3 linked regions of the Rattus norvegicus genome follow. The protein of the gene in region 3 interacts with the protein of the main gene of each other region in a biochemical or structural test. Links are inferred from orthologs where the notes say so. Each region holds a gene or a part of one and is shown on either strand. Other genes may lie near its edges.

Region 1 (3,652 bases), on a different chromosome or scaffold from region 3:
GTCTGCAGTCTGCCTGTGGTTAGACAGGACAGACCCCTACTAGTAACAACCATTAAGAATCCCAGTTGCTTTCTGACTCCTGCACCACCAGATCTCACACCAACACCCTTTTGCTGAAAGCCTCTGGGGGCGGACAGCTCTCACCCTGCAGATCTGTCGGTATGACCGCCCTGCCCCGCTGAAGGCCTCCTGAAAGGAAGGCTGTACCTGATTCATTCCCTCTTCTCTCAGCATCATTGGGCTTCTCCACTGATGAAATGAGCAACTACCGTCTAACCAACAGAAACCCAGCCTTGTCTGGGCTGGTGGCAGAGACCAGACGTGCTGACTGAGGCCTAGGGAATCAAGAGTCAGTGGGGCCTCCTCAGGGAACACTGGCATAGCAGGGGACTCTCTCATCTGCCAACACTCCTGCCACAGCATGACTATCAAACCAACCCTCAAGTCAAATTATGGGCTGTAGCTGGCTGTTGCTACTTCGTGGTTTCTTTTTTCCCCACCCTTTATTCACTGGTCTCCCCCCCTATCACTAGATAGGAGAGAAAGGATAGTAGGGACAGAGAGACTCCTGAATCCAATTTATTTCCTTTTGTTTCTATTGACCATGACCACTAATAATCTGCACCCGACCTCCCTAAACGACCAATAACTACAAACGCCATCTCTTGGGGTGTTGGTGTCAAAACAAAGGAGAACATTTATCCATTCCTAGAATTCCAAACATTGGGCAACTGCAGAAACTATCTGCAGCTATGGGCCACCGGGACTTGCTAGATACCTGGGACTGGGGCCTCATTCAAGACAACAGTGACAATGGCCTGGAAAATGGACTAGAGTAACCTGACCTCCCTCTCCCCTTTCTCAGGCTCAGGAATGAACCCACCACTCAGTTCAGTCCACACAAAGGGGAACAGGCAAATCACAGCCACTGGAACCCCCTCGACTCCCAAAGGCCTACAGATGGCTGACACCTACCGTACACAGGAGTCTTGCCAGGCAGGATAACCACCACCAGCTGGAGACCAGCGTATGTGTTCTTCAGGTGTCGGAACATGGGTTCCACACTGTCTGCCCCCTGTGCGTATTTACAGAAGCAGGGCTGACCCTGGATAGGCATCCCAGCATCTCTTGAGATCTTCCTCAGTTGCTCTGTGAAGGACCTGAGGGGAAAAGCCACTTGGCTAAGATGTACAATATATGGAAAGGAAGTCATATCCTTTCAACCAGGGGTTCTGAATACAGTTTAATAAAGTCAAAGGGGTGGGGAGAGGATTTTAAGTGCTTGCCTAGCACGCCCAAAGTTTGATCCCAAACACTGGATATTGCAGGTATGGTAATCTTAGCATTTGGGAGGAGAGGCAGGAGGATCTATAGTGCAAGGTCATTTAAAACTACACGATGAGTTTGAGGCTAGCCTGAGATATACAAGATTCTATCTAAACAAAGCAAAAACAAACAAAGAGAATTATGTTTTTTATTTGCTTTTGGTAGCTTAGACTGGCCTCAAACTCAGGATTCTGCTGCCTCACCCCTCTGGGGGCTAGGGTTGGGGGGTAGGCACCATGCCATGCTAGAATTTAATCTCAGGCATTAACCCATGAAGGGGGTGAGTGCACCACAAACCCATGGAAGGCCCAGGGATAATTGCTGGGATAAAATGGCAGATATAAGTGCCTGCTTGCTGCCTTTCTGTAGTGACACAGTATGGCTCTTTTGGGCCACACAGGCCTACTAAGCAACTCTGTTAGGGCTCTGGTAAAATAAGGGACACCTTCAGCTGCCGTATGGGTTTTCCCTGCTGTTCTGGTGGGTATAGCTTGACCGTGGAGACACAGACCCAGAAGGAAACAGAACAGGTGGCAGTCAAGCAAAGCCAGCATTTGGACTGCAACAAGACTCAGGGGGCTGAGAAGACTGGCTATGTTCAGAGTAAAAACATCCAACCAGCAGCCAAGGTGAGGACATTTAGTTCCAACCTAGTGGAACAGAGTTCACCTCCCATGCGCTGCACTTACAGAATGCACATATGTGTACCTGCAGTCACACCATCAACAGGTAGGTGTGCCTGGGGATAGAGACCAAAAATAGAAGATGGGCAGAAGTTGGTCAGCATCTAGCCTCTGCTCTGACTTTTCTCTGGGCTCCTGGCTCGTTCTCTCAGAAGCACAAGCAAAAGCTACACCAGTGTAGAATGACAGCCTCTATCCAGTGAACTCAGCCCTGCGTAAGACAGCTTCACCAAATAGCCTCTTGTTGGGGTGGTAGTGTTACAGCTATTCTCTGCAGGTTTTGGGGTGCCCCCTTCACTGCCCCCAGACAGGTAAGAACCAAATGTCTTATTTCCCCTCTAACCTTGGAACACGAGTAAAAACCCTGTGAGCTCTAAGGTACAATCTTGTTGGCACTGGTCAAGCTTAGTTACTTGCCACTGGCCCAACACTCAGTGTTCTGGGCAGAGGAGCGGGCCTCTGCAGCTCACTGTATCAGTCCTAAGCTACAGGGAAGGTGGCTGGGAGCAGTTAACCCACTCCTGATGGGTGAACTGTAACCCGTCCCTCCCCTGGAGAGCAGCCACTGAAGCCCACCACAATACTGACCTCTTCTACTGTCGCTTACCACCCAGTTTTCAGTTTCACTTCTCATTTAATTCACTGAAACGTCACAGTAGCACCAGCACAATGGCTTAATGAGAAAAGGGGGCACCTGTAATCCCATCAATAGCGGAGGCAGAGGCAGGTAGATCTGTGAGTTCAAGGCCAGCCAGGGCTACATAGTTGAGTTCTTGGACAGCCAGGGCTACAGACAGAGACAGTAAAATGTGTTGTTTCTACAGTCTGAGTCCACCGACTATGTCCACCCTCTGCTTCCATGGCGACTGATTTATTTTAACTCAGGTACTGTTTTCTCTCACAGCTAACCTTGGCCTCACCACATTTCATAAATGGGAGTCACCGTGAGCGAGTGCTCTCTGTTAGAGAAAGGCTGCCAGCCACTGGTGTCGGAACCCCAGTGACCCATCTGACTAACAGAAACAAGGCCAGGCACATGGAGGCCTCAGGCAGGCTTACTTGAGATGGACTTCTGTACACTGGCGCTGGGGTGCAAAGCAGGCGATGGCCCACACCTTGATCTCGATGCCCGTGTGGAACTGCTTGTTTCTCATGTCCCACACACCCTGGACAGGGGTGGCAATCGCTTTGTTCTGCAAATACAAAGTAGTTCAGTGGGGAACAAATGAAAATGTTCTTGCTGCTGGCCCTCCTGACCACAAGGACTCCTAAAGCACCACATCACAACGGGTGTGTTGTCTCCACGTCTCTAGCATTCCTTAGCACTATAAGCAACCCCCACAACACATGCAGAATGGTGGGTTCTGAATGGACGTGGCAAGCTGGATGAGAAATTAACAGGAGCAATGATGAGCCCTAGATGGGTAGAGTGAAGGGTCAGACGGACGGGTGAATGTGGGGAATAAATGAGTGGATGCGAAGGACGCATGAGTAGAGCTGGATGAAGGTACCAAAGGATGGGTGAGTGGATGAGGTTGAGTGTGGTCAGATGGATGGATGGGAAGGGACAATGGGTGAGCAGAAGGGTGGAGAGGTGGAGGGATGATGAGTGGAGTGTCACATAGATGGATGGGAAAGCACAG
Region 2 (3,652 bases), on a different chromosome or scaffold from region 3:
CTGACTTGATTTCAAGAGATTTGCTTACCCCTGTCCTCCCAGTGATGGGATTAAGGTGTGAAGCAACCATGTGCAGCTTAAGTGATTTGTTCAAGGCGTTTGAGGACTCAGGTACAGGGGTGCACAGCTTTAACCACAACAGACAGAGCGAACAGTAATAGGAGCTCTGAGTTCAAGTAAAGACAGTGACACCTTGGTGTTTTTTTAAAAAGGTGCTTGTCTTATAGGATGGATGGATGGATGGATGGATGGATGGATGGATGGATGGGGAATATAAATGTCTAATTTGTTCCCTAGAAGCATCAACAGGAAGGCAGGACCTTTAAAAAATGTTTGCAATTTATTAAATTATCATCTTCCCATGTACCACCCATGCAATCTTAAATTCATGGCCTCTAATGATATTATCCCTGCCACCCCCACACACACAAACACACACGATCTGCTCAGTCTCTTCAGTACTGTGTTATGTTGATTGATTATTTGACACTGAGTAACTAACTGACTGGGGAGCTCCTCCCTTGGGAAAGGCTAATCCTTGCTCTCACCAATCAATAATGCCTGTAGGGCTACATGAGAATTTCCCACACTGTCATCATTGTTGGCAGGCTAAGACTTTAAATGTGATCATTCTTACTCCTTATGAAATATCTTCTGTATGTAAATTTTAACAATTAGAATCCTAAGAAATTAAACAAGTTTCATTTCAAACTGAATATCCAAAATTCAAGTCAAAAGTGTGCATAATTAATGGCTATCATTCCAAATGAACCACTAAAAAGGGTCCTCAAATTTTAATGGAACACCAAGAATAATATGCATTATTTCCTAGGTCTACTTCTGTAGAAGCTGACTCCTGCTGAGTTCCTCCACAGAATCTAAGCAGGTAACTTAAAAGATTTTTTTTTAAGTAACAATTTGTAGACCAACTTTGGATTGTGTAATTTTGTCGTGGGGGTTGTTTATTTTTTGTGAGATAGGATCAGACGGTCTAGCATTGGCACACAGACCAGATTTCACTTTATAGACTAGGCTAGCCTTCATCTGAGATGCAGTTGCTGGGATTAAAGGTGGGTGCCACCAACCTCTGAACTCCACTATTTTCTAGAATCAGGAAAGTTTGCATATATGTAAAGATTCACTGAGTGAAATATACCTACTGTTCAAAAGTATCACCAGGTCACAAGAACCGGTAAAAGCCTTTTAATTCAACAATAAAAACTACAGCTCAAAACCATTACACCATGAATGACATTTTAATTTGGCTTATTATTAAGTCCAAAACTGAGCAAGGAACGACCTCATAGACTGAGATCATTCAAGAATCTTTACCTAGCCATTGTGACTCACGCCTTTAATTCCAGCACTTTAGACGCAGAGGCAGGGGAATTTCTGAATTTTGAGACAGCCAAGGATACCTATTGGATTCTTGGCAGCTAGAGGGGCATAGTGAGACAATGTGTCAAACAAACAAACAAACCCACAAAGGGCAAGCCTAAGGAGAGCACTTGTCTAGGACGCCCAAGAACAGCAGCGGAATTCCAAGAACATGGCCTGCAATCCACAAGGATCCTCTACCCTCCATACAGGCCATGAACAGTGTGTGTCCTTACACTTACTACGCAGTAATCCTACAACAGAGTAAAGCAAAACAAAACCCACCTTAACCTTACTAGCGTCTCTCACTGAATCCCCAAACAAACCAAGAGTCAATCCAGCCTCTGCCCACCTGACAGGCATACAGATCAGGACACTTACCTCCTGCAAATGGTGTGGGAACTGCATAAAGTGACTGATAGAAGCCAGGTGTTGACAATACTGAGGATAGTCCTTCAATCTGCCAAAAAATAAATTGTTCATTCATCATTTCATGTAAGTACAGGAAAAAGGGTTTTGTTTTGTTTTTTCCAGCCACTACTATTGAGAATCATTCCACCACTGTTATTGTGAAGACAACGTCAAACGGAAGACGACTGCCAGCCAGGAATGGTGCACACACGACCCCAGGACCTAACAATAACAACAGCGGCATAAGCTCAAGGTCAGCCTGGCTACATCTCAGGGGAAACACTGGGATGACCACCAACAGGGATGACCCTCACTCCACCCAGAGACACACCATCATCCAGGTATGCTCACACAGGCCTACAGTCTCAGCACTCGGGACACTGAAGAACAGAGAATTAAGATTTCCAGGCCAGACTGGAAGAGATCCAATCAAAATTTAAAAGTAACTGAAAATTGTGTAATACAAAATAAACAGAGTCATTATCTCTGCTTTAAAAAAAAATTCACTCTGTACATTGGGCACACAATGGACTTAGCTGTACAGGTTAGTATATACCTAATATGGAAGTGTACGCATTGTGTGTGATATATATACACTAGTTGCTGCTCCACATAATAAAAAGATACACCCAGGGCTGGAGAGATGGCTCAGTGGTTAGAGCACTGACTGCTCTTCCAGAGGTCCTGAGTTCAATTCCCAGCAAACACATGGTGGCTCACAACCATCTGTAAAGAGATCCGGTGCCCTCTTCTGGTGTATCTGAAGACAGCTACAGTGTACTTATATATAATAAATGAATAAATCTTTAAAAAAAAAAAAAAAAAAAAAGATACACCCAGAACGAAGAAGGCTGAGAAGGCCTGGGGAAGAAGGAAGAAGTGTCAGTCTCAGTACTCACCTATTTTTAAATCTATCTAGTGCAGCAATACCAAAATAATACATTTTGGACCCAAAAGGCTTCCGTAAGGCTTCAAGAACATATCGCAGGGCCAGACCCAATGCCATGTAAGTGACCAGTCCTTTTTCAATTATGCCACCAAACAAGCAGGCTGTTATATGTAATTCTTTATCAGGGTACTGGGGAAAAAACCGGTATTCTTCAAATAAGTTCCTTAGCATACAGTTAAATACTTCTCGCTCCCTTTTTATTGTAGAGTCTTTAAATCTCTGTAGCATTTCTAGTACCTGGAAAAGCAAGATAAACACAATGCATGCATACAAGAAACTTTACCAAGAATCATCCTCATATACCTGAATAGCAGACTTCCTGAGAAAAGCATTTACCAGTGCCAAAAAACAGAGCTGACACAAACATTAAAATTTCAAAAGATACACAGAAATACTACATTTTAAGTGAATTTCTAAAAACCTTCAAAGTGCCCTCATTTCGAGTTTATGAACATGAGAATCAGGAAGCCTAGACACTCACCTCATCAACAGACATGGTTGGATGTGGGGGGTGATTATATATTCGCTGGAAATAGCTGTTTGCTTCGTCATCTATTTCTTTACTAAAGTGCTGATTTGCCTCTGGCCACACCTGAGACAAGTCGGCTATTGGGGAGGAAAAGGCTATCAGTATACATATTTAAATCTTTCAATTCCCCCAGAAAGCCAGAGAGACTAACATGGTTCTAACTTGAAGTGGGGAAGAGGGGACATATAAAAAAAAACTGAAGGTTCAAGGATCAAATGATGGATTTTACCAACAGAGCTGTACAGGCAGACAAAAAAGACTTCTAAATAAATTGCTTTACTTGGTTGTACAGTATTTTGTAAATCCTACTGCAGTAAAAAGAAAGCTCAAAAGGCCAGAACCCCTAACCATTAACAAACCCACTCATGACTCATGATGAGCAAGTC
Region 3 (3,652 bases):
AAAGTACAGAGACATAGGAGCTAAACCATACACATCTTTACTTCTCAAATGCATGTAACAGAAAAGGTGCTTTTTGACTATATTCAAAGACACTGGAAAGAACTTATTTAAACATCCAATGAAACTTTCCATGTCTTCATAAATCTTAGGATTTCTAATCATGAGCAATAGTGGTTTCTTATGCATACCTACTTGGTTTTTTAAAATGATACAAAGAACAGAGGGTGAATGAGGTGGAAAAGACAATTGTCTATACTATTATTCTCTACAAGGCTGTTCAAAGGGTACTGAAGCCACAGTAGAACAAACATCTATCTCTACACACACAGGCCTTGGGGCTCCCATAATGTGTCCTGAGCCCAACATGGTAGAGGAACAATATTCATGTACATTTCAGGGTCCTTCCCTTCTAAGATTTGATGGTTTGGACACGTGTCTCACATTATATTATCTAGTCTCTCAAGCTGAATGGCATAAAAGCTGCTACATTCAGTTTTAAATAATCAAACAAAAGAATTTAGATTTAGTGGAGGATATGTAAATTATTCTTAGTTACTTTTGAGAAATACATCAGTAGTGACAATTTAGAAGCACTAGCCCATTTTTTAAATGTAGTTCATGAGTTTATCATCAGCACTACAAAATGGCTGCTAACAATCACAGATGACTTACCAGATTTGCTTAATGATTGTGGACCAACAGAGTTGGAGCCCCACGTGGATGCACTGGATGCTGCAGTAATGGGTTCTCCCCAGCTGGGACCACTGTCTATGGGCTTGCCCCAGGCTGAAGTACCATTATCCACAGTCGTGGCTGGAGTAGAAGGCTCTGCCCAAGGCTCACCCCAGCCTTTAGAAAGCATGGGAAAAAAAGTCATCAGCATAGACATTAGGAAACACCTTAAATAAAGGACACAAGGAAGAGGACTTGGGAAGCGAGATGAAGAATTTCACATCACACAACTGAAAAATGATGCTGTGACAAGCAAGAGGCATATTTTGTGAAGAACACAAATTATTCTGCATTAATATAACTGTATAACGTTTTAACCTTTTCTTTCAAAACTGCCATCTGGTGTAAGAGGAGACTCTTTTGAATAATTTAATATAGCAAATCATCTTCCTAAAAACGTCAGGTTCTTCTGAACCAAAGCTTGAGACCTGAGGCAGGTGCAGTGTAAAGTTACACTAATTACATTTTACTGAAAGGACACTCTTCCCATAGCACTGTAGTGGACAACAACTGACTATGACTACCATCAAGTAAACAGCCAGCCTACCTTATACACACGGGAAAAGAGGTCTACACTTTCCCTAAGAGTTAAACATAAATCAATAGAATAGGCTTGTATTTCAAAACAAAACAAAAACCCCACAAAATTAGGCACTAAAAGAAGAATTCCTGAAAACATTACCAGCTCTCTAACCAATGCAGCGTTACTCAATAAAACTCCCATTAACGGGGTTGGGGATTTAGCTCAGTGGTAGAGCGCTTGCCTAGGAAGCGCAAGGCCCTGGGTTCGGTCCCCAGCTCCGAAAAAAAGAACCAAAAAAAAAAAAACAAAAACAAAAAACCTCCCCATTAACAAAGGCATTGTGGGCCTGTCACATTTACAAAATGTTGCCCTATCAATTTACAGAGAAAAGACTTTGCTCAGTACAGGAGAGGAAAGGTCGAGCATACTAGAAAGCAGTGCAATGCTTCAGATGCACACACTGTATCCAGTTATCTGAGTAGATGCTGACTTCATGCCTCATTTAGGAAACCCACTAAGGTCAAACATAATATCAAATATCCAGAGTACTGTACTCAGGCACTTGGCTTTATTGTACTTCAATAGTGAAACCACATTATTAAGGCTTGGTTAAGAATACCTAAATAAGTACGTAACTCTGCCACTCAGTCCCTTCTACTACATTCCTAACAGAATAGGGCAACACTCCCAAGACAGAGCTGTTGCCTGGTAGACTTCACCTCTAGGTCACAGCTGAAAGGCCTTGATGTGCACGCTCAAGAACTGTGATACACAAATCTTATGACTGCATGTCAACACAAAGCTTGCTTCCACAATACCACTGCACTCCACATAGGAACGCTTACCAGAGCCACTGCTGGTCTCCTTGCTTGAGATGGCACTTGCAGCCGGCAACAACCGGTGCATCTGTGCTTGCTGGTCTGAGCGGCTGCTGCCTTCTGGGATGTTTTTATTCCACATGTTCACATTTTTGTAGTTGTATTTGCTTGGATCTCCCCAAGCTGAAGTTCCATCATCGATCTCCATTTTTCGTCGTATAGACTCTGGGGATGGTTCCTCCCAGCCTGTGGGTTCTTCCTCCTTTGCTGGAGCAGGAATAGGTCCCCCAAGCCAGCCTGTACCAGGAGGCTTGCTGGTGGCTGGTGGGATTCCCCACGATCCAACAATGTCTTGTTGCTTGTTCCAATCTGGAGAACTAACTGGTTTTGATGAATCTCCCCAACCTAGGGACTGATTACACTTTGGAGGGTCTCCCCATCCCTGGGAAGAGTTAGGTTTAGAAGATTCATCCCATCCTGATGAGTTATTTGGATTTATATTATTTCCCCAAGTAAAAGAACTAGTTTTACCAAGTTCGTTCCAACCAGAAATGGACCTGTCGCTGTCACTGCCTCCTGAGCTGGATTTCTTATTAGCCTCACCCCAATGGTTACTCCTGGAAGATTCTCCCCAGTTATCACTGGCAGAAACGGACCAACCTTGGCTTGACTTTTGTCCATCGCCCCAGCCTTGTTTGTTCTTTTGCGAATCATTCCATGCAGACTTGTCTTCTTTGCAATGCCCCCACTGATTGCTCTTGATCATTCCTGTAGCAGCAGAATCATCTTCCCACCCCCCCTGGCAGTTTGAGCCTTTGGAATCTCCCCACCTCAGAGTAGGTTTGGGATCACCCCACCCTGATACAGATGAGGTATCATTACTATTAGGGCTAGTCTTATCTGTACATGCCCCTGAGTTAAAAGTCTGTGTTGCAGAGCTTCCCCAGGCCTCTGTCCCATTGTCAGTCTTTCTTTCCCCTCTTGGTGATGTCTCTGTATCCCAGGCAGTATTCTGCTTAATAGGAGTCTGTCCCCACCCAGAATTGGATAGGACACGTGGATCTAAGTCAGTTCTGTTTACAATGCTTTGGAGTAATGTGTGCTGATCAATTTTTCTTCTATCTCTACTCTGGCTTTCCCCGGTTACTTTTTCTTCAAGGCGTCCAGTGCTCTCTGCACTACCATCACTCTCCACTGTGCCTCCTGCTTTGGCCCACACACTGTTTTGCTCATTCGTCTGAGATGTGCCAGAACCCTGATCATCTTCCTCAGTAGATTTCCATCCATTTGTAAGTTTCTTACTACCATTGCCATTTGCACTGTCATTGGAATGCTGGTTGCTAGGCAGTTTGTTCCACTCAACACTGGACAGACTAGTGCCAGTGTTCTGTGCAGGACTTCCCCATCCTCTTCGACTTCCTCCAGAATTTGCACCATTTCCACTTCCCCATGGTGAACTCTGGGAATTCACTGTCCCAGGCTCCCATACACCTCCCCCTTTATTTGTACTAACTTGAAAGTTAGTGCCCATAGGCCCATTTATGCCAGGCTGCATTAGAGTTGCATTCACAGTGTCACC

What was found.
Region 1: the proteins of Tnrc6a (region 3) and Ago2 form a complex in vitro, tested with the Homo sapiens proteins (2 studies listed by BioGRID). The link is inferred for Rattus norvegicus from reciprocal best matches to the Homo sapiens genes TNRC6A and AGO2.
Region 2: the proteins of Tnrc6a (region 3) and Cnot1 form a complex in vitro, tested with the Homo sapiens proteins (2 studies listed by BioGRID). The link is inferred for Rattus norvegicus from reciprocal best matches to the Homo sapiens genes TNRC6A and CNOT1.

Annotation. Positions count from the first base shown.
Region 1 is NC_086025.1:106,931,613-106,935,264, forward strand, and holds part of Ago2 (protein argonaute-2), read right to left. Parts: intron 3,203-3,652; coding exon 3,069-3,202; intron 1,161-3,068; coding exon 976-1,160; intron 1-975.
Region 2 is NC_086037.1:9,313,206-9,316,857, reverse strand, and holds part of Cnot1 (CCR4-NOT transcription complex subunit 1), read right to left. Parts: intron 3,344-3,652; coding exon 3,219-3,343; intron 2,975-3,218; coding exon 2,688-2,974; intron 1,838-2,687; coding exon 1,759-1,837; intron 1-1,758.
Region 3 is NC_086019.1:187,122,498-187,126,149, reverse strand, and holds part of Tnrc6a (trinucleotide repeat-containing gene 6A protein), read right to left. Parts: coding exon 2,101-3,652; intron 850-2,100; coding exon 673-849; intron 1-672.